Linked DNA regions of Stegostoma tigrinum. The protein of the gene in region 3 binds, or shares a complex with, the protein of the main gene of each other region. Links are inferred from orthologs where the notes say so. Each region holds a gene or a part of one and is shown on either strand. Other genes may lie near its edges. The genes, in order: lsm4, smx5, txnl4a and lsm3.

Evidence for each region.
Region 1: txnl4a (region 3) and lsm4 share a complex: the UniProt entries of both Homo sapiens proteins name them as parts of the precatalytic spliceosome. The link is inferred for Stegostoma tigrinum from reciprocal best matches to the Homo sapiens genes TXNL4A and LSM4.
Region 2: txnl4a (region 3) and smx5 share a complex: the UniProt entries of both Homo sapiens proteins name them as parts of the precatalytic spliceosome. The link is inferred for Stegostoma tigrinum from reciprocal best matches to the Homo sapiens genes TXNL4A and LSM2.
Region 4: txnl4a (region 3) and lsm3 share a complex: the UniProt entries of both Homo sapiens proteins name them as parts of the precatalytic spliceosome. The link is inferred for Stegostoma tigrinum from reciprocal best matches to the Homo sapiens genes TXNL4A and LSM3.

The regions. Positions count from the first base shown.
Region 1 is NC_081383.1:1,023,431-1,030,608, forward strand, and holds the start of lsm4 (U6 snRNA-associated Sm-like protein LSm4), read left to right. Parts: upstream 1-3,878; 5' UTR 3,879-3,888; coding exon of another isoform or gene 3,889-3,891; 5' UTR 3,892-3,956; coding exon 3,957-3,974; exon of another isoform or gene 3,975-4,006; intron 4,007-5,587; coding exon 5,588-5,629; intron 5,630-7,178. UniProt on the Homo sapiens protein: Plays a role in pre-mRNA splicing as component of the U4/U6-U5 tri-snRNP complex that is involved in spliceosome assembly, and as component of the precatalytic spliceosome (spliceosome B complex).
Region 2 is NC_081387.1:26,628,232-26,636,446, forward strand, and holds the start of smx5 (smx5), read left to right. Parts: upstream 1-5,067; 5' UTR 5,068-5,166; coding exon 5,167-5,169; intron 5,170-8,215. UniProt on the Homo sapiens protein: Plays a role in pre-mRNA splicing as component of the U4/U6-U5 tri-snRNP complex that is involved in spliceosome assembly, and as component of the precatalytic spliceosome (spliceosome B complex).
Region 3 is NC_081358.1:44,278,067-44,286,361, forward strand, and holds the start of txnl4a (thioredoxin-like protein 4A), read right to left. Parts: upstream 3,035-8,295; 5' UTR 2,925-3,034; intron 1,372-2,924; 5' UTR 1,340-1,371; coding exon 1,187-1,339; intron 1-1,186. UniProt on the Homo sapiens protein: Plays a role in pre-mRNA splicing as component of the U5 snRNP and U4/U6-U5 tri-snRNP complexes that are involved in spliceosome assembly, and as component of the precatalytic spliceosome (spliceosome B complex).
Region 4 is NC_081364.1:2,889,149-2,897,013, reverse strand, and holds the start of lsm3 (snRNA-associated Sm-like protein LSm3), read right to left. Parts: upstream 3,319-7,865; 5' UTR 3,238-3,318; coding exon 3,217-3,237; intron 1-3,216. UniProt on the Homo sapiens protein: Plays a role in pre-mRNA splicing as component of the U4/U6-U5 tri-snRNP complex that is involved in spliceosome assembly, and as component of the precatalytic spliceosome (spliceosome B complex).

The DNA.
Region 1 (7,178 bases), on a different chromosome or scaffold from region 3:
AACCATTACCAACAGGCCAGGGATCAACCCTGGCTCAATGGAGGGTGCAGGAGGACAGGCCAGGAGCAGCAGCAGGCATACCTGAAGATGAGGTATCGACCTGGTGAAGCCACCAAACAGGGCTACTTGCATGCCAAACAGTGAAAGCAGCAAGTGATGGATGGACCTAAGCAATCCCACAACCAACGGATCAGATCTAAGCTCTGCAGAGCTAGAAGTCCATCCCTGAGAGCATTATGGGTCAACCTACAGCAGGAGGACTGCAGCAGTTCAAGGCCACCTAGGAATGGGCAAGACATGCTGGCCAACCAGCGACACCCATATCCCGTAAATGAAGAGAAACAAAATGGTCCTCAGAATGAGGGACTTTCGTTTGTGGAGTAGAGAAGCAGAAAAGCTCAAGGAGATTAAATAGAGATGTTCATATTGGGTTTTGATGGAATAAATAAGGAGAAGTTGTTTCCAGTGCAGGAGGTTAGGCAACCAAAGGGTCACATTCAAAGTAATTGGCAAAAGAATCAGAGGGGAAGATGAGAACATTATTTTCGTTACAGTTGCAACATGGAATGTGCTTTTAAAAAGCTAGTGTAAACAGACTCCAACGTAATGTTTGTCACAGTACAAATAAATACCTGAAAATTAAAGATAACAAAGTGTGGAGCTGGATGAACACAGCAGGCCAAGCAGCATCTGAGGAGCATAAAAGCTGACGTTTCAGGCCTAGATCCTTCATCACCCTTTTCTGATGAAGGGTCTAGGCCCGAAACATCAGCTTTTGTGCTCCTGAGATGCTGCTTGGCCTGCTGTGTTCATCCAGCTCCACACTTTGTTAACCTGGATTCTCCAGCATCTGCAGTTCCCGTTATCTCTGGTCAGAAAATTAAATATTTGCAAGGCTGTGAGGCCTTGAACAATCTGGACAGCTCCTCAAAGACCTGGAAGTGCTATGATGGGCTGAATGGCCTCTATTTGTTCTGAGTTTCTACAGTTGGTGCTCCAGGACTTTTTACTACACCTGAAAGTGTGATATAATTGCAAGTTGTCATTGAGTAAGAATGTGGAGAAAAGCTTGTGCAATGCTCCCTAAGGTTTCATTGGCACCTGCCCTGAGCAAACAATCCTGGAAGGTACCACCTCTAGCAAGTGCCTTTGGGACAGGAAGAAAGCATTAATACAACATAGATATAGAAGGAACTGTCGATGCTGGAGAATCTGAGATAACACAGTGTGAAGCTGGATGAACACAGCAGGCCAAGCAGCATCAGAGGAGCAGGAAAGCTAATTCTGTTTTACTAACGTGTGTTTGGGAATTAAAGACTACCAACAAGTTGTATTTAGTATGTTTAATCACATGAAACACTTCAAGGCACTTAAATTTACAGGAGCAGTGTTGGGAAAATGATGGCCTTGTGGTATTAGCACTAGACTATTCATGCAGAAACTGAATGCTCTGAGAATCCAGGATCAAATCCCATGGTGAAATTTAAAATGCATTTTTAAAAAGTCTTAAATTAAGGGCCGACTGATGACTATGAAACCGTTGCCAATTCTTGGGCAAAAACCCACCTGGCTCGGTAATGCCTTTTAAGGAAAGAAACTGTCATCCTTTCCTGGTCTGGCTTATGTGTGGCCTTGGACCCAGAGCAATGTGGTTGACTCTGGGCAAACAGGGATGGGCAATAAATGCTGCCCTTCCAAGGTTGCCCTCATCCTGTGAGTGATTTTTAAAAACAAAAAATTATACTATCATATGTAGAAATATTTTAAGGCCGGATGACCTACAGCTTTTGGTCAGAGTTCCTTTTAACTCAAACACAAAACAAGGGCTGGGCCAGCATTTAAAGAGTAATTTAACGTGGGAGAGTGGTCAAGAGACAGGGAAGCATTTCCAGAGCTCACAGGTTAAACAAACAGCGATGGGATTATGTCAGAAATCACACAGCAGCAGGTTCTGGTGCAACAGGTTTATTTGAGCCTCAGTCCTTCAGACGTTAGTGAAAGAGGTAGCATCAAACACAGAATTTATAAGAGATCAAAGATCACACCACTGTTCAGGATCTATTAGACAAACCGCATGCTGCTAAATCTTCAATCAGTTCAGAGGGTTTATAATATGTACATATTATATATTTCCATATCAGTATACATACACAGACGAAATCTTTAGTCAGTTAGGTTTTAGCCGGGGGGGGGGGAAGCAGGGAGGAGGGGACCGGGGGGGAGGGGGGTGCGGGGGGGGGGAGGGGGGTGCGGGGGGGGGGAGGGGGGTGCGGGGGGGGGAGGGGGGTGCGGGGGGGTGGACAGGGGTGCGGGGGGGGGGAGAGGGGTGCGGGGGGGGGGAAGAGGGGTGCGGGGGGGGAAGAGGGGTGCGGGGGGGGAAGAGGGGTGCGGGGGGGGAGAGGGGTGCGGGGGGGAAGAGGGGTGCGGGGGGGGGAAGAGGGGTGCGGGGGGGGGAAGAGGGGTGCGGGGGGGGAAGAGGGATGCGGGGGGGCGAAGAGGGGTGCGGGGGGGTGAAGAGGGGTGCGGGGGGGTGAAGAGGGGAACGGGGGGAAGAGGGGTGCGGGGGGGGAAGAGGGGTGCAGGGGGGAAAGAGGGTTGCGGGGGGGAAAGAGGGTTGCGGGGGGGGGGAGGGGTGCGGGGGGGAAGAGGGGTGCGGGGGGGGAAGAGGGGTGCGGGGGGGAAAGAGGGTTGCGGGGGGAGGTGGAGCAGGGGGCAGGGTGAGGTGGAGCGGGGGGAGGGGGCAGGGGAGGGGAGGGAAGCAGGAGGGGAACGGGGGGAGAGGAGCCGGGGTGGGGAGGGGGGAGCGAGGGGAACGGGGAGGGGGAGCGGGGGGGGGAGAGGGGAGCGGGGGGGGAGAGGGGAGCGGGGGGGGGAGAGGGGAGCGGGGGGGGGGAAGAGGGGAGCGGGGGGGGCGGGGGGGGAGAGCAGTGGGAGCAGGGGGAGTGGGGAGAGTGGAGCGGGGGGAGCGAGGGGAAGCGGGGGGGGGCAGGGGGGGGCAGGGGGGGGAGCCGGGAGCTGGGGGAAGGGGAACAGGAGGTGAGCGGGGGGAGAGGGGAGCAGGGGGAGAGGGGAGTGGGGAGCGGAGGCAGAGGGGAGCGGCGGCAGAGGGGAGCGGCGCGGGGGGGGAAGGGGGGAGCGGAGAGTGGGGGGGAGGGGAGAGCGGGGGGGGAGGGGAGAGAAGGGGGGAGGGGAGAGAAGGGGGGAGGGGAGAGAAGGGGGGAGGGGAGAGAAGGGGGGAGGGGAGGGAGAGAAGGGGGGGAGGGAGGGGAGAGAAGGGGGGGAGGGAGGGGAGAGAAGGGGGGGAGGGAGGGGAGAGAAGGGGGGGAGGGGCGGGGGGGGGCAAGGGGGGAGGGGCGGGGGGGGGCAAGGGGGGAGGGGCGGGGGGGGCAAGGGGGGAGGGGCGGGGGGGGCAAGGGGGGAGGGGCGGGGGGGGCAAGGGGGGGAGGGGCGGGGGGGGCAAGGGGGGGAGGGGCGGGGGGGCAAGGGGGGAGGGGCGGGGGGGGCAAGGGGGGAGGGGCGGGGGGGGGCAAGGGGGGAGGGGCGGGTGTGGGAAAGAGGGAGCTGGTTGGAGGGGGACGGCGGCAGATGGAGCCCGCGGGGGGAGGGGAGGCGGGATGGGGGGTGTGAGGTGGGGACGGGATTCGGCGCCAAGTGCTGGGCTGTTCCTCCTACGAAGGCCCCACTTTACGCCAACTATTGCGACAGCAACCTCAGTACGGGGCGCCACCTCTGGTCGCTGCCATCTCTGATTGGCTGTGTCTGTGGCCGCGGCTGCTGATTGGGGAAGACAACCCGTCCATCAGGCTGGCGGGGCGGGGCTAGGCCGGAGCCGTAAGTTGGGTTGTCGCAGCCGCGGCGGGAGGAGCGGGAACCAGAGACGGAGACAGAATGGTGAGGGTGAGGGCCGCAGGCTGAGCCTGAACAGGCTGCAGCATTGGACGCTGAGGGGTGACCTTATGGAGGCTTATAAACCCGTGAGAGTCATGTGTAACAGAGAATAGCCAAGGTGTTTCTCCGGGGGGTTTAAGGTGAAAGGTTTAAAGGTCTCGAATGTCAGCTTTTTCACACTGAGTGGGGTCTGAGGAAGTGGAGGAGGCTGGTACAGCCATAACATTTAAAAGGCATCTGGATGGGTACATGAATAGGAAGGGTTTAGTAGATAATGGGCCAAATGGGACTAGATTAATTTAGGATATCTGGTCAGCGATAGGCAAGTTTGATCGAAGGTAAGAGATAACAAGGTGTGGAGCTGGAGGAACACAGCAGGCCAAGTAGCATCAGAGGAGCAGGAAAGTTGACGTTTCGGGCTGAGACCCTTCTTCAGAAATGGGGGAGGGGAAGGGGATTCAGAAATAAATAGGGAGAGAGGGAGGCGGATAGAAGATGGATGGGGGAGAAGATAGGTGCAAAGGAGGCAGACAGGTCAAAGAGGTGGGGATGGAGCAAGTAAAGGTGAGTGTAGGTGGGGAGGTAGGGAGGGGATAGGTCAGTCCACGGAGGGACGGACAGGTCAAGGAGGTGGGATGAGGTTAGTAGGTAGCTGGGGGTGCGGCTTGGGGTGGGAGGAAGGGATGGGTGAGAGGAAGAACCGGTTAGGGAGGCAGAGACAGGTTGGACTGGTTTTGGGATGCAGTGGGTGGGGGGAAGAGCTGGGCTGGTTGTGTGGTGCAGTGGGGGGAGGGGACGAACTGGGCTGGCTTTGGGATGCAGTGGGGGAAGGGGAGATTTTGAAACTGGTGAAGTCCACATTGATACCATTAGGCTGCAGGGTTCCCAGGCGGAATATGAGTTGCTGTTCCTGCAACCTTCGGGTGGAATCATTGTGGCACTGCAGGAGGTCCATGATGGACATGTCATCTAGAGAATGGGAGGGGGAGTGGAAATGGTTTGCGACTGGGAAGTGCAGGTGTTTAGTGTGAACCGAGCGGAGGTGTTCTGCAAAGTGGTCCCCAAGCCTCCTGTTTCTGTGCTATGTATCTCTGTGACTCTAACGGGGGTTGTGGGGAAAAATGATTGAACGTGTCGTTATAGAGACATATGGGGGGGGGCGCGGTGGAGAAGGATGGTTGGTGAGGGAGGAGAGAATGAATCAGTCGGGAGAGCAGGTGAGAGGAGAGAAGATGTTGATGTTGAGCTTGGTGGGGTGGTGTGCTGTGTGGGTCTTAATTATACCGATATACCAGGACATTGTCGGGGAATGAGGGAAAGGGGCAATTGGGCAGGAATGTGAGAATGTGAAGAATATCCCTGACTCCCAGCCTCCCTTTGGTGTGGGGTGAAAGGAGGGAACCCATGTGCTGCTGCTTTTGTAATCTGAGCGCTGTTGATGGATTTCCCACTCTGAGACCTGTACAGTCAGTCCTAATTCTATCCCTTTCCAGCTTTAATCCTGGAGGCAAGGGTCGTGCTGATTGTAGCTGTACTTCCCCACCCATTTTAAAAGAGCTTTTGTTTTTAGTTTTTATATTTAGTTGTAACTCTTACGTTCTGATTTATAGTGGGGATGTTATCCACATTAGCAGTAATTGTTTTGACAAATTAAACTTTCTTCTCAGATTTAATCAAATGTTTTTCTTCTTTATTTCAGCTGCCCCTTTCATTACTTAAGACGGCACAGAATCATCCAATGGTAAGAGAGGCTGAGAGAATGCCTGCATTTTGCTCCATGATTGGTCCAGGCAGGGCTCCCACTTTGGCACATGGACTGTTTGAGCTCCTCAGTGATTCAAGCCTACACTTGTCGCTCCCTCAGCCAGCAGTCGTTTTTTTCCACCTGAGTGTTTGACAACTTGTGTTATTTTTAAAGAGTAAGTTAGCAATCATGGCAAGTAATTTTTATACTGAAATGCCTTAAACCCCCAGTCTCTGCCTGAGTGCTACTTCTCAGCTTTAATATAACTGAACAAGGGGACAAGTGTATGCTGTGGAGTCTGTCCCAGTATTCTATATTTGGCTAATTGTCGCCTTTGGACAGGTTTCATACATGTTTTTAGTGCCTCCCAGACAAGGGCCTTTGAACAGTCCCCTTAAATGTTTACACTTCTCAAAGTTAAGAAATATTCTGCCTTGACTTTTGTCTACCAAAGTGAATAGCTTAAATTATTGACATTATGTTCCAGCTGACACGTTCCACCCTGTGCACATAGCCTGTCCAAGTCCTCACGAAGCCTGTTTGCATTTCCACCTAATTTGGTGTAACGAGCAAATTTGGAAATATTACATCCAAATTACTTGTACAGACTATGAACAGTGTGGTCTTAGCACAGTACCCCAGTAACAACAGCCTCCCATCCTGAGATTTTTTCTGTTCACCAATTGTCAGATAATGAGGCAGTACATTTAATCATCAGTGACTTTAATGTTCATGTAGATTGGGAGAATCAAGTTGGCAAAGTGACAAAAAAACTTCATGATGTATTTGAAATTGAATCCACTTCTTCTTAGAAGCTAGCGGGGATCAGGCTTCTTCGGATCTGGTAATGTGAGTTGAGGCAGCATTAATAAATTAGCCCACAATAAAAGATACCTCCAGGAACAGTGATCGTAAAGCATTCAGTTTGGGTGCGAGAAATTTGTATCAGAAATGACTGTACTGAACTTGGGGGTAATTATATTAGAATGAGGACAGAGTTGGCTGGAGTGGTTTGGGAAAGAAGTTTAGCAGCAAAGGTGTTTGAAGAACAATGGCAGACATCTGAGAAGATAGTTCCTGGCTTTCAGCAAAGGTACTTAACCAGTAAAGGAGGAGGATTCCTGAAAGGGGTGTTATGAAGTTTTAGTAGAGTAATCGTGAGGTGGAAGGAAGGAAGCTAAAATATATTGTTCCTTGTGGTATATGATACAGTATAAGTGATTGTGGTGATGTTGTGTCTTCCTGCTGAGGCCTGTACCAGAGGTAATGGCGGATTATGCTTTTCGGATATCCATTTCTTTTGAAGGCACTGTATAGGTGCTTGTATTATACTTCGCGTTTTTCCATAGATCAAGGACATTTCAGAGATGACCACAAGAATACTCAGACCGCTAGGTATCAGAGTAGCCTACAAACCAACAACCGCCCTACAATAGTTACTGGTGAACGTAAAGATCCCATACCCAAAACCAGCAAGCCAATGTAATATACAAAATACCATGCAAGGACAGTGAGAAACACTACATAGGCCAAACCAGAAGAAAAT
Region 2 (8,215 bases), on a different chromosome or scaffold from region 3:
GTAGGGAGGGGATAGGTCAGTCCAGGGAAGACGGACAGGTCAAGGAGGTGGGATGAGGTTAGTAGGTAGCTGGGGGTGCGGCTTGGGGTGGGAGGAAGGGATGGGTGAGAGGAAGAACCGGTTAGGAAGGCAGAGACAGGTTGGACTGGTTTTGGGATGTAGTGGGTGGGGGGGGGGGAAGAGCTGGGCTGGTTGTGTGGTGCAGTGGGGGGAGGGGATGAACTGGGCTGGTTTAGGGATGCAGTGGGGGAAGGGGAGATTTTGAAACTGGTGAAGTCCACATTGATACCATATGGCTGCAGGGTTCCCAGGCGGAATATGAGTTGCTGTTCCTGCAACCTTCGGGTGGCATCATTGTGGCAGTGCAGGAGGCCCATGATGGACATGTCATCAAGAGAATGGGAGGGGGAGTGGAAATGGTTTGCGACTGGGAGGTGCAGTTGTTTGACATTCCACATTAAGCAGAGGTTCACCTGCACATCTGCCAATGTGGTATACTGCATCCACTGTACCCGGTGTGGCTTCCTCTACATTGGGGAAACCAAGCGGAGGCTTGGGGACCGCTTTGCAGAACACCTCCGCTCGGTTCGCAACAAACAACTGCACCTCCCAGTCGCAAACCATTTCCACTCCCCCTCCCATTCTCTTGATGACATGTCCATCATGGGCCTCCTGCACTGCCACAATGATGCCACCCGAAGGTTGCAGGAACAGCAACTCATATTCCGCCTGGGAACCCTGCAGCCATATGGTATCAATGTGGACTTCACCAGTTTCAAAATCTCCCCTTCCCCCACTGCAGCCCTAAACCAGCCCAGTTCATCCCCTCCCCCCACTGCACCACACAACCAGCCCAGCTCTTCCCCCCCACCCACTACATCCCAAAACCAGTCCAACCTGTCTCTGCCTCCCTAACCGGTTCTTCCTCTCACCCATCCCTTCCTCCCACCCCAAGCCGCACCCCCATCTACCTACTAACCTCATCCCACCTCCTTGACCTGTCCGTCTTCCCTGGACTGACCTATCCCCTCCCTACCTCCCCACCTACACTCTCTCCACCTATCTTCTTTACTCTCCATCTTCGGTCCGCCTCCCCCTCTCTCCCTATTTATTCCAGTTCCCTCCCCCCATCCCCCTCTCTGATGAAGGGTCTAGGCCCGAAACGTCAGCTTTTGTGCTCCTGAGATGCTGCTTGGCCTGCTGTGTTCATCCAGCCTCACATTTTATTATCTTGTTCACTAATATGCTGTGTTTCCTGTCCATGCTGCCATTGTCCCTTTTAGTTTATGGGTTGCAACTTGGCATGTAATCTTGCTATTTGTCCCTTTGTCAAATGCTGTCTGGAAGTTTATGAACACCACATCCACAGTAACACCCTCATCAACCCACTTTCTGACCTTATTTAAAAAGAAACAGATTAATTGACATTTCACCATTAACAAGATCATGCTGATTTTCCCTAACTTATCCAAGTTAATAATATGTCCCATATTATTATTATAAAGTAAGTGTAAGTGTATCTGTGGAATTCTTTGCTGTAGAAAGTTGTCAAGGCTGTATCATTAAATGTATTCAAAGAACAATACAGCACAGGAGCAGGCCCTTTGGCCCTCTAAGCCTGTGCCAACACATTTTGCCCTTCCTCACTAAAGACGTCTTCACTTACAGGATCTATATCCCTTTATTTTCTTCCCATTCATGAATCTGTCCAGGTGTTTCTTGAATGCTGCGATTGTATCTGCTTCCAACAACTCCTCTGGCGACATGTTCCAGGAACTCAACACCCTTTGTGTGAAAAAGTTGGTTTGCACGTCTCTTTTAAACTTCCCCCATCGCCCCTTGAACCTGTGTCCCTAGTAATTGACCCCCTCCACCCTGGGAACAAGGCCCACACTTTCCACTCTACCCCTGCCATTCACAATCTTATAAGCTTCTATCAGGTCACCATCCAACCGCCTGCATTCCAGTGAAAACAATCTTAATCTATCAAATTGTTGTTCATTGCTAAAATCCCCCATATCAGGCAACATCCTGGTAAATCTTTTCGGTACCTTTTCCAAAGCATCCATATCCTTCCGGTGGCGTGGTGAACATAAATGTACACAATACTCCAAGTGTGGTCTTTAAAGTTCAATAAAGCTGCAACATAACTTGCCCATCTTTGTACTTAATGCCCTTTCCAATGAAGGCAAACATGCCAAAGGCCTTTATTATTACCTTAGCTACCTGCCCTGCCACCTTCAGTGATCTGTTGATGTGCACACCCAGATCCCTCTGCATACCAATTCCTGAACCTAAAGGTTCTGCCGTTCATTGTATAATTTCTACCTGTATTTGACCTTCCAAAGAGCATCGCCTCACATTTTGCCCAGATAAAATTTTTCTGCCCATGCCTCCAAATGATTTATATCCTGACGTATCCTCTGATGATCCTTCTCACTATCCACAACTCCACCAATCTTTGTATTGTCTGCAAAGTTATTAATTGGATCAGCTATTTGCATAGACCACAACTAGCAGAGGACTCAGAACTGATCGTTGAACACCACTAGTCACAATCCTCCATTCCAAAAAGCATCCCTCCACCGTTTCCTTCTGTCTCCTATGATTGAGGCAGTTCTGCATCCACCTTGCCAGCCCACCCTGATACTATCTGACTTCACCTTTTGTACCAATCTGCCACAAGGGACCTTGTCAAAGGCTTTACTGAAATCCACACGGACAACATCAAACGCTCTTTCCCCATCAATCATCTTTATCACCTCCTAAAAACACTTGATCAAGTTAGTGAAGCACGACCTCCCTGCAAAACCATGCTGTCTATCGTTAATAAGTCCATTTGCTTCAAAACGCATTTATATTTTGGCTCTGAGACTTTTCCACTAATTTCCCTACCACTGATGTAAGACTCATAGCCTGTAATTTCCAGGATTATCCCTGTTACCTTTCTTAAATAATGGCACAACATTGGCTATTCTTCAGTCCCCTGCGACCTCAACTGTGCCCAAAGATGTCCTTCAATGCTTTAGCAATTTTTTCCCTGGCCTCCCTCAAGGCTGAGATAGACAGGATTTAGTCAGTAAGGGAAAGAAGGGTTATGGGAGAAAGGTAGATAAGTAGTTGAGGCTTATCAGATCAACCATGATTGAATTGAATGATGGAGCACCTTGATGGGTCAAATGGTGTAATTTTACTCCTGCATCTTAATGGGTAAGCCTTGCAACTTTGCTCTCACGTCACCCTTTTTCATGATGAGGATTGGGCCTCATTACTGAATACTGATGTTGACTTCCTGCTTAATAAACTCTCCTTTATCTCCCTAAAACATGCCTGCTGAATCTGAATCCTCATTTACGTCTGTTGTTGGTACCTATATGAACTATGATCTCCAGCTGATCAACCCCCATTTCACCATGTTTGCAACTGCCTAGTGACATCCTGCATCCTTACAAAAGAAAGGCACTCTGACATCCTGGAGTAACATCTGTGGGTGAAAGAAAACATTCTATTCTCTGAACTAAGACGCTTCCACCACTATCACACATCCTGTCTTCTTCTTTCCCTTGACAACTGAGTCACATATGATGCCGTGACCTGTCTCACTGTACTTTCCAGGAAATGTATCACTTCAGCAGTATTCTGAATGAAATCCTGGTCAGGCATGAACACAGAACTGCACAGCACAGGAATGGGCCCTTCAGCCCACTATGTTGTGCCAAAAAGGACACCAAATGAAACTAATCCCTTCCTGCCCTTGAAAAATATCCCACCATTCCTTGCATATTCATGGGCTTATCTAAAAATCCTATTGCCTCTATTGTATCTGCCTTCACCACCACCACACCTGGCAGTACATTCCACCCCAGTGCAAGATAAACAGATGTGGGATTGACGATGACGAGGAAGAGTGAGAGTAGAAGATGACGACAAGATGGAAGGTTTATGATAGGCTGGAAGGCAGCAGAAATCAAATGAAGAAAAGGATGATGGTACATGGGGTACGCTAAAATTGGGGTGACAATTAGGTGTGAAAATGCCAAAGGTGTGTGGTGAAAGGATATAAATCAGCATCAAATGGCATTTAAAAAAAGATTTTTAAAGTTACAAAATGGAGTCAAAAGCTATGATCAGAAATTTCTGTGTGATCTTACAAACTGCCTTATTGAAAGATGAGATAGTAAGAACAGTCAATGCTGGTGTCAGAGGCAGTAAAGGAGTAGGAAAGTTGATGTTTCAGGTCAGGACCCTTCTTCAGAAATCCAGAAATTCTGAAGAAGCATCCTTACCCTAAAAAAAATCAACTTTCCTACTCCTCTGATGCTGCCTGGCCTGCTGTGTTCCTCCAGCTCCACACTGCGTTACAATGAAAAGGTAAGTTGCCTAATCTTCAGTTTGCATTCAGCCTCACAGGGAAGGTGCATTTCATCTCTTCAACCATCTCACAGGCATTCTCTCTTGTTCTTTCCTCTAATCTCCTCTTGCTCTGCCCCTGTACTTGCAGCAAAGTTGTTGCATCTCTAGCTTTATCCAGTACTGGATGAAGAGTCATCAGCCTGAATGATTAGCTTTGTTTCACTCATTGAGTCATGAAAGGACAGGAGGTGGCCATTCCATCCATTTAATCCACGTTAGCTCTAGTACAGCAGCCTTATCAATCTTGTTACTCTGGTCTATCCCAGCATCCCTGCTGGTGTATTTCTCTCAAGTGTTCACAGAACTTTTGAGTCAAACTCATGCAGCATGGAAACCGACCCTTTGGCCAATTACAGGGCGACCAGGTTTCCTAAACTGAACTCTACCTACCTGCACTTGGACAATATCCCTCCTAACCACGTACCCGTCCAAACGTCTTCTAAATGTTGTCATTGTAACTGTATTCGCCTCCAGCAGCTCAAACAACATGTACACCACCCTCTGCGCGGGAACGTAGCCCCTCGAATCCCTTTTAAATCTTTCCCCTCTCGCCTTAAGCCCAATGTGCAGCCGGATGAATACTTCCAGCCGCTTGGCAGGCTGGTAGCACGTCAATCAAACGAAAAGGCGGGAACACAGGTGACACAGTGGGCAGGGATCGGCGGAATTCTCGCGATATCGGGCGGTCCGTCCGCGCGCAGGCGCCGCGGGTTTGAACCGGTTTGACTGGGAGCTGCCGTCATTGTCGGTGCCATGGTGAGTGAGAGAGGGTCTGAGAGAGACCGGGCCCGGGGGGGAGAGAGAGTCTCACAGGGACCGGGCCCGGGGAGGGAGAGAGAGTCTCACAGGGACCGGGCCCGGGGAGGGAGAGAGAGTCTCACAGGGACCGGGCCCGGGGGGGAGAGAGAGTCTCACAGGGACCGGGCCCGGGGTGGGGTGGTGAGGGAGAGTCTTACAGGGACCGGGCCGGGGGGGTTGAGGGAGAGAGTCTCACAGGGACAGGGACCAGGCCGGGGGGCAAGAGTGAGTGAGTGAGGAGGTAGGAAGTGGAGGGATAGGGACGGAGATAGAGTGTGAGTGACTGTCTCACAGAGACCAGACCGGGGGACGGAGTAGAGAAGCAGGTTGAAAGACCCTACGGTAGGCTATTGCATAAAATGCGGAGGCATGTGATTGAGGGTGATTTAGCGGTTTGGATCAGAAGTTGGCTAGTTGAAAGAAGACAGAGGGTGGTAGTTGATGGGAAGTGTTCATCCTGGAGACTAGTTACTAGTGGTGTACCGCAAGGATCTGTTTTGGGGCCACTGCTGTTTGTAATTTTTATAAATGACCTGGATGAGAGCATAGAAGGATGGGTTAGTAAATTTGCAGATGACACTAAAGTCGGTGGAGTTATGGAGAGTGTGGAAGGATGTGGTGGGTTACAGAGGGACATTAGATAAGCTGCAGAGATGAGCTGAGAGGTGGCAAATGGAGTTTAATATGAAAAAGTGTGAGGTGATTCACTTTGGAAGGAGCAACAGGAATCCAGAGTACTGGGCTAATAGTAAGATTCTTGGTAGTGTGGATGAGCAGAGAGATCCTTGTGTCCATGTACATCGATCCCTGAAAGTTGCCACCCAGGTTGATAGGGTTGTTAAGAAGGTGTACGGTGTGTTAAGTTTTATTGGTAGAGGGATTGAGTTTCGGAGCCATGAGGTCATGTTGCACGTGTACAAAACTCTGCGGCTGCACGTGGAGTATTGCTTACAGTCCTAGTCGCTGCATTATAGGAAGGATGTGGAAGCGTTGGAAAGGGTGCAGAGGATATTTACCAGGATGTTGCCTGGTATGGAGGGAAGGCCTTATGAGGAAAGGCTGAGAGACTTGACGCTGTTTTCATTAGACAGAAGAAGGTTAAGAGGTAACCTAATAGAGACATACGAGATGATCAGAGGATTAGATAGGGTAGACAGTGAGAGCCTTTTTCCTCAGATAGTGATGGCTAACATGAGGGGACATAGCTTTAAATTGAGGGGTAATAGATATAGGACAGATATAGAGGTAGGTTCTTTACTCAGAGTAGTAAGAGCGTGGAATGCCCTGCCTGCAACAGTTGTAGACTTGCCTAAGTTTAAGGGCATTTAAATGGTCATTGGATAAGCATATGGATAATAATGGAATAGTGTAGGTTAGATGGGCTTCAGTTTGGTTTCACAGGTTGGCGTGACATTGAGGGCCGAAGGGCCTGTACTGCGCTGTAGTGTTCTATGTTCTGTGTTCTAGACAGAGCCCTATAGTGATGGTGAGGGGTGGGGGGTGAGAGGGGGAGGGGGGGGAGAGAGAGAGAGAGAGAGAGAGAGACTGTGTGTGTCTCATTGGGTGAGTAGGAGAGAAGGATGGAAGGAAGAGTGGAGAGTTTCACAGATTGGGGGAGGGAAGGAGAGACACAGAGGAAAGGGGGAGGGGAGGGAGAGAGATAGTAAGGAGGCAAGAGAGAGCGCGAAGAGAGAGATTGGGTAAAGGAGAAGGGTGGTGGCTGTGCTGGTCATTCCCACATTCCATTTAAAGAATTTTTAAAAAGCAACTTAATGTCATAACCATTTGACTCAGTCAAGCGCAGGAAGTTGTTGAGCTTTGCCATAGAACATAGAAAAGTACAGCACAGTACAGGCCCTTCAGCCCACGATGTTGTGCCGTGGAATAATCTTAATCCAAAAATAAAATAACCTAACCTACATTCCCCTCAATTCACTGCTGTCCATGTGCATGTCCAGCAGTCACTTAAATGTCACTAATGATTCTGCTTCCACGACTACCACTGGTAAAGTATTCCATGCGCTCACAGCTCTCTGGGTGAAGAACCTCCCTCTGACGTCTCCTCTGTACCTTCCTCCTAACACCTTAAAACTATGACCCCTCGTGGCATTCAATCCTGCCCTGGGGAAAAGTCTCTGGCTATCGACTCTATCCATGCCTCTCATTACCTTGTACACCTCGATCAGGTCACCTCTCTTCCTCCTTCTCTCCAGAGAGAAAAGTCCAAGCTCAGTCAACCTCTCCTCATGACAAGCCCTCCAGTCCAGGCAGCATCCTGGTAAACCTCCTTTGCACCCTCTCCAAAGCCTCCACATCTTTCCTATAATAGGGCAACCAGAACTGGACACAATATTCCAAGTGTGGTCTCACCAGGGTTCTGTAGAGCTGCAGCATAACCTCGTGGCTCTTAAACTCGATCCCCTTGTTAATGAAAGCCAAAACACCATATGCTTTCTTAACAACCTTATCCACTTGGGTGGCAACTTTGAGGGAGCTATGCACTTGAACACCAAGATCCCGCTGTTCCTCCACACTGCCGAGAATCCTGCCTTTAATCCTAAATTCAGCATTTAAGTTCGACCTTCCAAAATGCATCACTTCGCATTTATCCAGGTTGAACTCCATCTGCCATTTCTCAGCCCAGCTCTGCGTTCTGTCAATGTCTCACTGAAGCTAGCAATAGCCCTCGATACTATCAACGGCACCTCCAACCTTTGTCATCAGCAAACATACTAACCCACCCCTCAACCTCCTCATCCAAGTCATTTATAAAAAGTACAAAGAGCAGAAGCCCAAGAACAGAGCTCTGCGGGACACCATTCAGCACTGACCTCCAGGCAGAATACTTACCATCTACAACCACTCCCTGCCTCCTGTCAGCCAAATCACCCTGTATCCCATACCTCCTGACTTTATGAATGAGCCTGCCGTGGGGAACCTTATCAAATGCCTTGCTGAAGTCCATGTACACCACGTCCACTGCTCGACCCTCATCAACCTGTCT
Region 3 (8,295 bases):
AATTCTAGAGGTGAGGTGACAGCTCTTGACTTCAAGGCCATATTAACAAAGTGTGGCATCAAGGAGCCCTAGCAAAAGTTGAATTAGTAGGTATCTGGGGGCAAGTTGTCTGCTGGTTGGAGTCAAAACAGGCACATAGGAAAATGTTTATGGCTCCAGGACATCTCTGCAGGATTTGCTCAGAGTAGTGTCCTCGGTCTGACCATCTTTAGCTGCTTCAACAATGACCTTCGCTCCATCATAAAGTCTGAAACAGGGATGTTCGCCAATGATTGCACCATGCTCAGCGCCATTTGCAACTTCTCAGATATTGAAACAAACTATGTTCAAATGCATCAAGATCTGGACAATATCCAGGCTGGGGCTAACAAGTGGCTAGTAGTATTCAACACCACAGAAATGCCAGGCAATGACCATCTCCAATAAGAGATGTTATTACATCACTGAATCCCCCACAATCAACATCCCGGGGGTTACCACTGAACACAAACTCAACTGGACTTGCGCATGAAGACAGTGGCTACAACAGCATCAGAGACTAGGAATACTGTGATGAGTAACTCACCTCCTGACTTCCTAAAACTTATCCATCAACTAAAAGGCACAAGTCAGGAGTGTGACAGAAAACTCCTGACTTGCCTGGATGGGTGCAGCTGCAACATTTTATCATTCAGGATAAAGCAGCCCACTTGATCAGCACATCAACATATATCCATTCTCTCCACCGACACTTAGTGGCAGCATGTACTATCAACAAGATGCACTGTGGAAATTCACTAAAGATCCACAGACAGCACCTTCCAAACTCACAACCACTTCCTTCTAGAAGGACGAAGGCAGCAGAAAAATGGGAACACTACGCTCTGCAAAATTTCCCTTCAAGCCACTCACCATCCTGATGAGAAAATATATTGCTGTTCCTTCAGTCTCTAGGCCAAAATACTGGAATTCCCTCCCTAAGGGCATTGTGCATCAACCTACAGCACATAGACTGTAACAGTTCAAGAAGGCATCTTAACACCACCTTTTCAAGGGAAACTAGGGATGGGCAATAAATGCTGCCTGAATAGCAATGCCCATATCCCACAAATGAATAGAAGAAATTTATATAGTTCTAACATTGTATTTAACCGAATACAACTTTACCTAACGCTGGGTGCACTTGCTGATGTTTATGAAGGCTTACCTTTTCAGCAATACTATACAAGACCTCATCCATCTTCATACAAGTTGGATCCCAATCATGACCAAAGCGAATGACAACGACACGATCCTCCTCTGACAGGATGGCCTGGTCTACTTGCCAGCCATTGTGGAGATGTGGCAGCATATACGACATTGCGGCAAAGAGTTGCACTATTTCTACTACCCCTTTATATGACAAAACCAAAAAAATGAGTTAAACCACTTCTAGACTAGAAAGAAAAATGTTAGTCTTATGAATAAAAGCTCTGTGCTCACAGAAATAGTACAGTTCTTAAGACTCGGGCAGACTGACGTAAATAAATAATAGCTTGGGCCTTTGGAGGTTTTAAAAAACAGAATCATGACGGTTGTAAAGCAATTAACAACCTGTATTTTGATTGTTTTTGACCCTGTAAAACTTCCCATAAATATGACAAAATAAAGTCTGCCACCAAGCCACATAAAGAGGGATTTTAGTACTTAGGCCCAAAACCTTGTTCAAAGGGCAAGTTTCAAAGCAAGTCTTAAAGTAGGAAGGGAGGTGTGTGGAAGAGTGACTGAGAGGTTTAAGAAAGGCGTTCCAGAGCTTAGGGCCTTGGCAGCCAAAGGCACAGTCACAAGCTGTTGGAGGAGTCAATGTTGGGATGCTCAAGACACCTGAAGAAAGGAGTACAGCAATCATTTATGTCGGGGTGAGGGAGCCTCTGAAGGATTGGAAATACATGTTCATTTATAACTCATAACCTACATAATACTTATAGAATATAACCTCCTTACTGTTCCGTGCTATATGTTAATCAAATTGGTTAGAATCGCTATGAAGTCTGCATTTTACAAAACGTAACATTGTCGTTGAAAACACATGTTCCAATTCCAAGGAATGAAACAGCAACAATCCACTTTTAAGTTTTCAAACAGTAACCAACTGATTCTCTATCATATTGCATATTCTTTGGTCATATTTCTGCAGAGGCTACAAGTTACAAAATACAGAAATCTCCACGAATTAAGTTTGGGCGATTCCTCAGCACTCATTCCTGTCACCTGGCAAACTTTCATGGCTTTCGATCATGTTTCTGAGGGGCTGCTTACAGTGTCTGATATCAATGAAACTGGAGTGGGCTGGACAGTTGAGATGGATGTAAACACCAAAGTTGATTAAAAATGATCTTTGTTTTGTGGTGACAATCAGCAATGTCCCTCTTGAGAAGGGCAAGTGGTCACTTTTATTTTGATTTAATTGGGGAGGATGGAGGGGGAAGAGAAATGGTGTCATTTCTCTTACTCTAAAAGCCCACCTTCAGGGGTTATTATAGGGCCCTAACCTCTGGGCCTGGAGGACCGGATAGAATTCCCCTGGCCCTGTGCCACAAGGCGTGCGATGACACCTCTGAACGGGTTAATTAGAAAGTTAAATGAGTTAGAAGGCCTCCAGCGATCCAGGAGTGACAGTGAAGTTTACAAAGTGCCCTGAATCAACTCAGTAACCATGGCGGGTAATTGCCTCTTCCTTTACCAGGAAAAAAGACAGGCGGACAGCGGAGGTGAAAGAAACTCTTAAACAACCAACCCCCTGAGAGCTAACTGATGGTGTTTAATAGTAACCCCGGTGTGTATCTGAATGACTGAGAGTTATGTGGGGGGGAATAGTCAGAGACAGTAAACCTGCCTCATCTGTATCGCTGGAAATACTCGACTGAACAGGAGCGAGTGTGTTTGTGTGTATTAGGCGGGCTCACCTCAGACACCAATCCCCGGGAATGACACCGAGCAAGGGCGCCTCACCCCGGCCCCAGCTCCGGCTGCAGGGCCTCTGACAACCAAGATGGCGACCGCCGGTAAGGGGACGGGCCGCATGCGCGGGATCACTGGGCCAATGGGGAAAGCCTCGCGATGTTTCCCCGTGTCCCTCTGCCGGTGAAGTGACAGGTTGCATTGTGGCGGACCTTGTAGCAATGTACTGGCAATTTGTCACCACTGGAGGGCAGCCAAGTGCAAGGGATGCAACAGCGCGTTTGTACACGGCAAGCCCACTGCCCCGTCATAATGTCCAGACGATTTGTCTTTTGTAATATGAGCTCAGGGAATAAATATTGTTTGGGATATGGGAGATAACACTTCTTTCAAATAATGGCACCGAATCCTTTACATCCAAGCAAGAGTTGATGTTTCAACTAAATGATGGCGTCTCAGACAGTGCAGCACTGCCTCAGTATTGCATATGTCAGTGTAGGGATTTGGAAAGATGTTCAAACACTCAGATTCAGAGGTAATGATGCTGGAAGGCTGATGGCAACATTGATAGAGTCCATGCTGACTAGATATCCTATATAAATCTAGTCCCATTTGCAAGCGTTTGGCCCATATCCTTCTAAACTCTCTAGGCCCAAAATGTTAGGTTTTGTGCTCCGAAGATGCTGCTTGGCCTGCTGTGTTCGTCCAGCTCCACACTTTGTTATCTCCTTCTAAACTCTTTCTATTCATGAAGTCATCCAGAGGCATTTTAAATGTGATCATTGCACCCACCTCCACCACTTCCTCTGGCAGCTCATTGCTGACACACACCACCCTCTGCATGAAAAAGTTGCCCGTTAGGTTTCTTTTAAATCCTTTCCCTCTCACCTTAAACCTATGCCCTCTAGTTTTGGGCATTGTTGACAAAGTAGCTGAATATGATTGTCATAGATTGGATTCCCTTTAATCGGCAAATATTTTTAGATACCTTGCTGAAAAATAAAATTTGAAGCAGTTTTTTTCAAGCTGAGTGATATACGATGACCGGTTAAAATGCTAATGGGTCCTTCATTTCATCATTTTCACTTACACAGCTGGATGCCAGACTTGTATGTGTTTTTGTGAAACAATAATGGATTTGTGGTGGTAATCATCTATGTCCTGGGACAAAATAACTTCACTAAATTGCAATCAGAATTCTTTCCATGGTTCTCATGAAAATCAAAATTCCTCTGAATGTGATTTATTCAGTTGTGCAATGACTTTACATATAACTTTGAATGCTGGGAAACTGGTTCATCTACTATGACTATGTGCTACTATCCATCCTACCTCATTCCAGTTCATCACCAAGTAAGAAAACACAGTAGAACTTGTTCCTATTTTAAAGTGCTTAGCTTTAATTCAAATTTGCAGACCCCAATGGAAGATGTTGTAGATTGTAACTCATCTCACGTTGGTACTAATAGCAACAATCCTTTTAATTTGAGGGCATGATTCATCCAGAACAAGAAATTAGAGTTTGGGTTAGGGTTAGAGAAATTCATAGGGACTGCTGTTTTTCTTATTCAAAAGGAAATTCTGCTGAGCATGATAAATTTGCCCATCTGCAGTGGCCCAAGGTTCAAAGAAAAATATGCTTGCTCATAATTTAGTTTACTCCATTTTGTTAGAGTGCAGTCTGCTAATGTGTGGCACAGATCTGGCATGGTTAGGATCAGTTTCCTCTTGATTGTACAGGAAACATGGTATCAGGAGGAGATTATTCACCCTCAGGAACCTAATCCATCATTAAATGACTTTGTGATTGATCCGTACATTCTTATCCTTAAGTTCTCCATACAAAAGCAGATCTGACCACAGCACAGCAATCTCTCACCCACCTCCTCCCTCCCCAGGCAGAGCAAGAAAGCAGGTTGTGAAGCCACCCCACCCAAAATGGGAATTGACCCCGATTTTATTCTAATTTATATATTAACTCCATTTACATAACCCTTTGTACCCTCTTCTAAGAAAAGCCTGTCAAATTTGGTTTAAAAATTTTTAATTGATCTACTTTAGGAGAGGCTTTGTGACCAGCCATATAAATACCAACTAGGTGAGAGGCTGAGAATTCTGTGGCACGTAACTCACCTCTTGAATCCTCAAAGCCTCCCAGCCATCTACAACGCACAAGTCAGCAGCATGCTGAAATACTCCCCACTTGCCTGGTTGGTTGCAGGTCCAACAGCATTTCAAGAGCCTCAGCACTATCCAAAGCAATGTGAACTGTTAAATTGAGTTCTGGATTTTTACTGGCACTCCTCTTTGAGGTCAGTCATGGGTGCCCTTGCTTTGCCATTCCTAGATCAACGATCATCTGGCTCAGTGTCTGCACAGAGGTAATTATGCCAAGGTGGAAAAGCTAACTTTTTTGCACGTGTATGGTGGAGGGTGATTAACAATAAGCTGAAGATAAAAGCGACAAACCAGTTTGAGATGAATGAGGAGGACTAAGATATTCACATTCACAGATTAGGGCCATTTCTGTGCTGTGATCAGGAGAAATCTAATTTGAGAGCCAAAACTACAGATTTGTCGGAAAATAGGCACATATTTGGGAGGTTCAAGAAATTTGGAGATAGGCAGAGAGATTGGTGATAGTGTGGCTTCCAAGGACAGTAAAGTAGTTTTTTTTTAGGATGGATATGATTTTGACAGTTTTAAAATGGAGGGCAATTGTATCCACAAAAAGAGGACTATTTATATTAGGAGATAACATTGGCATTATGAGGGGAGGTTAGATCGCAATTGATCAGAATGGAGTCAAGAATGCTTAGGGCTTAACCACACAGAGAAACACATATCCACCATTCATTGCCATTTTCATTTTATTTAACTCCCTATGTTTATTATCACCCATATATATTTCAGCTTTCCCACAGCCTGAGTATCTCAGTTCAGCTTTTTGCCCTTTTATCCCATCTAATTTGGAACCCACGTTCCATTTACACTTTTGTATCCGACATTTTTGCCACATTGTCATAAATGCTGTCCTCTTCCTTTTCCTCATCATGGAATCAGAGAATTGTAGGCCACTGAGGAGGCCATTTGGACCTTTCTACTTGTGCTAGTTTCCTGAAAGTCAACCAATACACTCCCTGCTCTTTCATCGTAGCTCTGAAATGTTCTTCTTTTCAAGCACCTAAGTGGTCCTTGCAAAGTTACTACTGATAATAAAATGTGAGGCTGGATGAACACAGCAGGCCAAGCAGCATCTCAGGAGCACAAAAGCTCCTGAGATGCTGCTTGGCCTGCTGTGTTCATCCAGCCTCACATTTTATTATCTTGGAATTCTCCAGCATCTGCAGTTCCCATTATCTCTGATACCAAAGTTACTACTGAATCTGCTTCCACTGTCTGTTCATATCTTTTCCAGATAAACGATTCTTTAAAAAAATCCCTCCTGACAGCACCTGGAATTTTGGTTTAGTAAGAATCCTGATAACAAAATGAAGGTCTCACTGCTCTATCCCTCAATCTGTGAATATTTTTTCGGTTTTAATAATGTTGAGTGCCTTTTATGTATGAACATAGATGAATTTAGCAGTAAATGTCGTGAAATATTTATTGAAAACATTAGATGGCGCTATATACCAAGCTATGAGACCTTTAACAGCGGCACTGTTTCAGTTTCTCATGTATTTATTGTGTTCTATACTTACCTTTTGTAAATAAATCACTGAAATGTTTGAAGGCACGTCTTAGCTGTACCTAATGTGAAGATGCTAATGTTGATGACAATGATAAGCATGAAAACTGAACATTAAAGAGCAGCGCAGCAACTAAGCCCATCTCCGTGGAGAAATGAAACGATTGCATTTGTTTGTGAAACTTCTGTCAGAAGTGGAAACTCGTGTATAGAGCCTGCTCTGGCAGTTTCGCTCATGCAAGTTGAACGTACGGAAGGACACACTTGTTCCTATACGAAGTGCTATTAAGGTTCACCAGACTGATTCCTGGGATGAGAATATACGAGCAGACATTGAGTAAATTAAACATCAATGTAGACTTCAACTGTCCCTCTGGAAGGTATTTGCCAATCTGTCAACTCCGGCTATTGAAGTCTCCTCTAGGCCCCTCTGACTAGCCCTGTGAAATACTTTTTCATAAATGATGTTGCGTCTCATAGAAACAAAGAAACTATGAGCAGGATCCTTAGAGCCGGCACCTCCATTCATTGGGATCATGGCTGATCCTCTGTTTCAATGCTGCTCTCTCCTTCTAACCCTTGGAGCATTTGATTTCTGAAAATATATCTATTTCTTTCTTCAATATATTCAGTGAGTTGGCCTGCATTGTCTTCTGTGATAGCAAATTTCACAGAGTCACTACCCTTGGAGTGTTAAAAAAAACTTTTCCTCACCTCAGTCCTGAATGGTCTAGCCCACATTCTGAGACTGTATCCCTCATTCTGGACTCTCCAATCACAGAGAACATTCTCCCTGCATCTAGTCTGTTAAGCCCTGGTAAAGTATTACATTTATCAAGGAGATCACCTCTCATTGTTCTAAATTCTAGTGACTACAAGCGCAGTTGAACCAATCTAACCGCAAAGGACAGTCCTGCTATCCTCAGTATCAACATAGTGAATCTTTGCTGCACTCTGTCTATGGCAAATACCTTCTTTCTTACATAGGCAGACGAAAACTGAATGCAATACTCCAGGACTGATCTCAGCAAGGCCCTGTTCAATTGCAGTAAGAAAGTCTTACTTCTGCACCCAAATGCTTTCTACATGATACTAGCGCTTGTCAAAAACATCCAACCCATGTTGAGGATAGCAAATGTGGTTCCCCTGTTCAAGAAGGGGAGTAGAGACAACCCTGGTAATTATAGACCAGTGAGCCTTACCTCAGTTGTTGGTAAAGTGTTGGAAAAGGTTATAAGGGATAGGATTTATAATCATCTAGAAAAGAATAAATTGATTAGGGATAGTCAGCATGGTTTTGTGAAGGGAAGGCCATGCCTCACAAACCTTATTGAGTTCTTTGAGAAGGTGACCAAACAGGTAGATGAGAGTAAACCGGTTGATGTGGTGTATATGGATTTCAGCAAGGCGTTCAATAAGGTTCCCCACAATAGGCTATTGTACAAAATGTGGAGGAATGGAATTGTGGGAGATATAGCAGTTTGGATCGGAAATTGGCTTGCTGGAAGAAGACAGAGGGTGGTAGTTGATGGGAAATCTTCATCCTGGAGACCAGTTACTAGTGGTGTACCACAAGGGTCGGTGTTGGGTCCACTGCTGTTTGTCATTTTTATAAATGACCTGGATGAGGGCGTAGAAGGATGGGTTAGTAAATTTGCAGGTGACACTAAGGTCGGTGGAGTTGT
Region 4 (7,865 bases), on a different chromosome or scaffold from region 3:
AGATCACTGTGGAACGTTAATCTTCATCACATCCTACCAGTCAGTAAAAGTCCTATTTATCTATACTTTCTAAGGGCACTTATCGCCATGTGGTAATGTCCTTAACTCAGGGCCAGAAGGACCAGATTCACATCTCACCTGCTCAAGAGATTCTTTTTTAAATTCACTAGTGGACATGAGCATCGCTGCCTAAGCCAGCATTTATTGCCTATCCCTAGTTGCTGTTGAGGTAGTGGTAGTAAGTTGCCTTCTTAAATCTCTCCACGCACTGTTGGTACACTCGCAACACCATTATGAAGGGAGATCCCGAGATATTGAATCAGTGACAGTGAAGGAACAGCAAAAAATTTCAAATCAGGAAGGTGAGTGGCTTGGAGGGAAACTTACAGGAGTGGTGTTCCCACATATCTGCTGCCCTTGTCCTTAAGAGGTGATCGGTTTGAAAGATTACGTTTAATATCTTCAATGAATACCTGCAATGCATCTTGTAGAAAGTACACACTGTTGCGTCAGTGGTGGATGGAGTGCCAATCAAGTGGTATGCTTTGATGGTGTTGAGCTTCTCGAGTGTTGTTTGAACTGCACTCATCCGAACAAGTGGGGAGTATTCCAACACACTCCAAACAGTACAGTACATGGTAGATCTTGCAGATAGTGGACAGGCTTTTAGAAGTCAGGAGGCGAGTTACTCACTGCCATATTCCTCGCCTCTGACCTGCCTTATAGCCAATGTATTCATATATATTTTCTTATCAACCTGAGATGGCATTACACACCTCTGGAGCAGGTGGTACTTGAACCCAGTGCCAGAGGTACAGACAGTACCAATGTGCCACAACTGTATTAATTTTGCAAATCTAATGGAGTTTCCGGTAATGGTAATCCCCAGACTGTTTATAATAGAGAATTCAGCGATGCCTCATGATGTTTGGGGGCTTTGGCAATGTTTAGATTCTCTTTTATAGGAGATGGTCATTGCCTTGCGTTTGTGTGGTGCGAATGTTACTTGCCACTTTTCAGTTCAAGCCTGGATACTATCTAGGCCTTACTGCATTTGTGTCATAATATGCCGAACAAGTTGGTTAAAAAATCTGCAAACTCTTTTCTACCTGCCAACTCTGTCCTTGTGCTAGTATTTTACTATCTACGCCATGAGCTCTCCTTTTCTGTGGAACTTTATCAAACTGCCTTCTGGATATCCAAGTCTAGTACATCGATGAGCCCCACTTCATCCACAGCTTGTTAATTCCTAAAACCTTCGATAGATTTGTTAAACATGATTTCCATTTTAAAAAACCAAGCTTGCTCTTTCCAATTATCTTGAGCTTTTCTAAACGCCCAGTTATAACCTCCTTAATGATCAACTCGTAACACCTTCCATGAAAGAACACGAAGCCGAGTTTCCTGTCTCCCTCCTTTCTGGGATAGAGGGGTTAATATTTGCTATTTTCCAATTTAATGGAACCTTTTCAGAATCAAGTGAATTTCAGAAAATTGAAAGCAATACATCCACTAACTTCGTTACCAATGTTTTAAGATTCTAGGGTAAAGTCCATATGAACCCAGGATCTTGAGTGCTCATAGCTCTATCAAACTGCTCAATGCCTTGCATGTAACAGCCTTGCCTGCCATATCGCAACACCCAATTCCCCAAATGTATGCCAGCCTTGTTCCCCCCTGTCTTTCACCTACCTCTATCCCATCAATACTGTCCTCAGACAATGGGCAGGACTCACACTCTGTCTCCCTTCCCCTGCTCTCTCTCCTACTTCCTGTTCCCTACAATTACTGTATCTCACCTACTCTCACCCCATCCCCACCTCACTCTCCTGAGCCCTTTCACCTCCTATATCTCCTCACCCTCCTTGATCTCTTCCTAATCGCCCTTCTCACCCCACACGTTGTTTCCCCCCCCAACCACTTCGCTGACCTCTCCCCTTCCTATTTTGTCCCCCCATTCCACCCACACCTCCCCCTACACGCTCTCTCCCCTGCCCTTCTCTCTCAATCACAATCCACTACCTAACACCCTTGTCCCCAAACCCTCTCTACTGGCTCTTGTCTCCCACAATCTCCCCAGCCATTTCCCTTTCTACCCCTATTTCCCCTTCCCTTGTCCTCCCGCATTCTCGCTCTTTCCCACTCTCTCCTCTCCCAACACTCTCTCTCTCCACTCTGTCCTCTCTCCCTCCCACACTCTCACTCACCCCTTCTCTCTACCCCCCTACTCATTTCCATGTTACAAAACCAAGGTTGCTCTTTCCAATTATCTTGAGCTGTTCTAAATGCCCACCTCCCCCACACTCCCCCCCCCCTCACCCACTCCCTCCCCCACTCCCCCCCCACCCCCACTCACCCACTCCACCCCCCCTCACACCCCCCCTCACCCACTCCACTCCCCCCCCTCACACCCCCCCTCACCCACTCCACTCCCCCCCCTCACACCCCCCCTCACCCACTCCACTCCCCCCCCTCACACCCCCCCTCACCCACTCCACTCCCCCCCCTCACACCCCCCCTCACCCACTCCACTCCCCCCCCTCACCCACTCCACTCCCCCCCCTCACCCACTCCACTCCCCCCCCTCACACCCCCCCTCACCCACTCCACTCCCCCCCCTCACACCCCCCCTCACCCACTCCACTCCCTCCCCTCACACCCCCCCTCACCCACTCCACTCCCCCCCCTCACACCCCCCCTCACCCACTCCACTCCCCCCCCTCACACCCCCCCTCACCCACTCCCCCCCCTCACACCCCCCCTCACTCTCCCTCCCCCTCCTCACACCCCCCCTCACTCTCCCTCCCCCTCCTCACACCCCCCCTCACTCTCCCTCCCCCTCCTCTCCCCCCACACTCTCCCCCCCCCTCACCCACTCCTCCCCCCCCTCACCCACTCCTCCCCCCCCTCACCCACTCCTCCCCCCCCTCACCCACTCCCCCCCTCACTCCCCCTCCTCTCCCCCCCCACTCTCCCTCCCCCCTCCCCACACTCTCCCTCCCCACACTCTCCCTCCCCACACTCTCCCTCCCCCCTCCCCACACTCTCCCTCCCCCCTCCTCTCCCTTTCACTCTCTCATTTATTCACACTCACACCCTCCCTCTCTTTTCGCCCCTTCCTGCCTTCCTTCTTCCTCCTCCTCCTACTACTTACTCACTCCTTCTTTCTTTCTTTTCTCTCACTCATTCACATTCCCCATCCCGGGTTTTTTTTACCTGGTCTCCCTCCTCCGCCATGGTTTGAATCCGGGTGACTGCAACCTGCGCATGCGTGCTGACCGCGTTGTGGTAGCGGCGGGGAGCGGGTCCTCCCGCTGCCGCGCCCCGCAGCGGCCGGGAGGAGGAGGAGGAGCGGGTGACTGGCGCGTGCGCGGTGCGGCGGGAAGGTGAGAGTGGGGATCAGTGCCCAGCTCTGGGCACATCTCTCCGCCTCCTTTTCTAACCTCCCCCCGCCCCCTTCTTCCGGGGGAAGCTGCTGTTGTATAACCCTGTTTTATAACAGGCGGCTGGAGAGCATCTGAGATTGACTGCACCTTTCCTCAAGTTACAGGAGGCGCGAACATGGCCAAAAGGAAAGGGTCAAAAACCCAAAGCTCAACCCAGGCTACCTGCAAAAGATTGAAGAAGGACTGCAGCAGAACTAAACCTGTCAGAGAGGGCCCAGTGAAGTGTGCAAAGCAGCTGCCTCCTGGTAACTATGCCTCAAGTTGCTTTTCCTCTTCATGCAGTGACTAATTTACAAACACTTTTAACCAAATGCAATGCAATCAGCCTCTGCCATCGTTCAGACCTTTACCATCCACCGCAGGAGTCATGATCATCAAGAACAAAACCAAAAGAGCTGCAGGTGCTGAGCTTTTCCAGCAGCTGAAAGCAGAAGTTGCTGGAAGAGCTCAGCAGGCCTGGCAGCGCCCGTGAAGGAGAAAGCAGAGTTTAGGGTCCGCTGACCCTTCCTCAGAACTGGAGGCCTCATAATCGTTAGCTGTGGTTGCTTTGGCACCTCTTGATTAGATGAGATTCCCTACAGCGTGGAAACAGGCCCTTCGGCCCAACGAGTCCACACCTCCTGAGAAAGGGGCTATATTTATACAGCACTTTTCATGGCCTCAAGGTGGTAGGAGATTGAAATTGCTGGTGAAACTCAGCAGGTCTGTCAGCATCTGTGCAGAGAAAGCAGAGTTAACGTTTCAAGTCCAGTGATCCTTCTTCAGAACACGGACTCCAAATGTTAACTCTGCCTCCTCTCCACACATGCTGCCAGACCCCCTACATTTCTCCAGCAATTCCTGTTGTTTCAGATTTTCAGCAAATGCCATTCTTTGTTTTATCATAGTAGAAGATTGAATTGGTGTAGAAAATTATGGCCCAGAGATAATGTTTTTTTTAAATCATTCAAATATAGACAGAGGTAGTAATGTTCCAAAGGATAGAAAGAGGGGGATAATGGTTCTTGATCCATGTTCAAGTCCCACCTGTCCTGGAGGATGCCATTACATCTCCAGGCAGTTTGATTACAAACAACAAGAGATCTATTTGGAGACTATGGTAACAAACTGAAGCTGGATGAACACAGCAGGCCAAGCAGCATCTTAGGAGCACAAAAGCTGATGTTTTGGGCCTAGACCTTTGGAGGCTATCTTTGATTCATTATAGTCACGTACCTAATTACAGTGAAATGTTTTGTTTTGCATGTGGTACAGGCAGATCATAGCAAACAAAGATATAAAAATCACAAGCTGCTTAGACAGAGCGAGAGCCTTTTTCCTAGGGTGATGACAGCGAGCACGAGGGGGCATAGCTTTAAATTGAGGGGTCAAAGATATAGGACAGATGTCACAGGTAGTTTCTTTACTCAGAGAGTAGTAAGGGAATGGAATGCTTTGCCTGAAACGGTAGTAGATTCGCCAACTTTAAGTACATTTAAGTCGTCATTGGACAAGCATATGGATGTACATGGAATAGTGTAGGTTAGATGGGCTTGAGATCGGTATGACAGGTCGGCACAACATCGAGGGCCGAAGGGCCTGTACTGTGCTGTAATGTTCTATGTTCTATGAGGCACAGGAGGTCACAGCCACATTAGAAGGTGCACAAAAGCAACACCAACATTATTGGAGGCTTGAGAGGTCCACTCAGCAGTCTGATAACATCAGGGAAGAAGCTGTTCTTGAACCTGTTGGTGTGTGCTTTCAACTTCAGTATTTTCTGCCTGACAGGGGAGTTTGGAAGAGAGCATTACCCTTTTCCATGGCAATGACAAGAGTAAGTGGAGCCCATGGCTACAATGTGTGACTGACAAGTACAAATCTGAACAACACTTTTAGAAGCTTAGAAAGGGGGAAGATGTTCTGTTTCAAAGTGTGGAGCTGGATGAACACAGCAGGCCCAGCAGCATCTCAGGAGCACAAAAGTTGACGTTTCGGGCCTAGACCCTTCATCAGAAAAGCTTTTGTGCTCCTGAGATGCTGCTGGGCCTGCTGTGTTCATCCAGCCTCACATTTTATTATCTTGGATTCTCCAGCATCTGCAGTTCCCATTATCTCAGATGTTCTGTATCAGTCTGATTTCAGACCAAAGGAGAAGGCATTGATGGATTCAATTCTGGGGAATGAGGTGCATCTAATTTTATTGAAGGAGGGCTTTGTAAAATTCATTTTTGGGATGTGATTGTTGCTGGCTAGACCAGCATTTATTACCCATTGTAAATGCCCTTGTGATTGTGGTGATGAGCTACCTTCTAGAACCGTTGTAGCCCACGTGCTGTAGGTAGAGTCTCGATGCTTAATTGGGATGGAATTCCTTGGATTTTGACTCAGTGACTCTGGCGGAGCAGCAATATTTTCTAAGTCTGATGATAAGTGGTTTGGAGGGGAAATTGCTGGTGGAGATGCAGCATTTAGGGGACAGTGATTGTCGTATCGTCAGTTTTTACGTGGCCCAGGCGCTCTGGAGGCTCAGCGTTGGCACGGACTTGGTGGAAAAACTATAATTCAAGTACGTTTTTGAAAAAAACCTTATTTACTCTTTCATGTAAATGAACTGACATTTTATTATTCTTTCAGGTCTGTAACACGTACTTATGTAACTGTACCTAGGTTCCTCTAACATAAGGTGGTGCCAAAGTGGTGACAATACAAAGTTTTCACTTCACTCAGTCACATGCCCGTGACAATAAAACCAATTCAATTCAATTTATGTCAGCGACAGAGTAGAGATAGTTAATTGGTAACTCTCTTTACTCTGTCACTGGCATAAATACATTCAGCCTAAAATAAAGAAGTTTTTGTAAAAAGTACTGGAATCATAGTCTGTTTACCAAGTCCATGCCAACATTGAGCCTCCAGAGAGACCAGACCGTGTAAAAACTAATGATACGACAATCAGTGACCCCTAAATGCTGCATCTCCAAGTTGGACACAGCCTTAAAATTAGGTGGGGTAAATTTAAAACTGAAACGAGATGACATTTCTTCAGCCAGAGTGTGGTGGGCTTGTGGAATTCATTGCCGCAGAGTGCAGTGGAGGCCGGGACGTTGGATGCCTTCAAGGCAGAGATTGACAAATTCTTGATCTCAGAAGGAATCAAGGGCTACGGGGAGAGTGCAGTGAAGTGGAGTTGAAATGCCCATCAGCCATGATTTAAATGGCGGAGTGGACTTGATGGGCCGAACGGCCTTACTTCCACTCCTATGTCTTATGGTCTAAGTTCCCTCCAAGCCACTCATCATCAAGACTTAGAAGCATATCACTGCTCCTCCAGTATCACTGAGTCAAAATCCTGGAATTCTGTCCCACATAAGCATTGAGCGCCTACTACAGCACACGAGCTACAACAGTTTCAGAAGGTAGCTCATCACCACAATCTCAAGGGCATTTAGGACGGCCGATTAAATGCTGGTCAAGCCAGCGACGGCCACATCCCATAAATGAATTTTACAGAGTCCTCCTTTCATAAAATTTCAGTGAGTTGGGAAAGGATCTAGCTCAGGTAAATTGGAATTGAAGGTTGGCAGGCAAAACAGTTGTGGAAGAACTGCCTTTAAAGAAAACATCAGCTTTTGTGCTCCTGAGATGCTGCTTGGCCTGCTGTGTTCATCCAGCTCCACACTTTGTTATCTCAGCTTTAGTACAGTCAAGGTTATATTCTCAGGAGGGGGAGAGGTAGAATAACCAGTCCAGTGTTTCCTGGATGTTATATCTGAGCTGGAACAGAAAAGGAACATGTGATTTATATCAGAATGATGATACAAGTAAGAAACAGGTTTAATATAAAAAGTTCACAGGCGAGGTAAAAAAGGAGGCTGATAGCTAATATAAAAGGGAATCTAAAAGTTTTACATAAATTTATAAATACTGACAGGATGGTACATGGAGGAATGGGGCCAGTTATGGACCAAAATAAAATTTACACATGGAAGCAAGAGCATGGTGGAGATATTAAATGAATATTTTACATTTGTCATTACTGAGGAAGCAGATGCTGTACAAGTCAAAGTGAAAGAGGAGGGAGTTGAGATTCAGAAAGAAACAGTGCGTGCTGGAGAAACTCCCCAGATCTGGTAGTGTTTGTTGAGAGAGAAATGTAAGTAATGTTTTTCCAAAGAAGAGTCATACTGGACTCAACGTTAAATTTGTTTATCTTTATACAGATGCTGCCAGACCTGTTGAGTTTTTCCAGCAATTTCTGTGTTTGTTTCAGATTTCCAGCATTTGCAGTATTTCGCTTAAAGTGGAGATTCTGTATGGACTAAAAATTGAGAAAGGTGAGCTACTAGAAGGACTGAGTCTACTTAAAATTCTTTGGACACTGAGACCCAATCAGATGTGCTTAAGACGACTGAGAAAGTAAGGATGGAAATTGCAAAA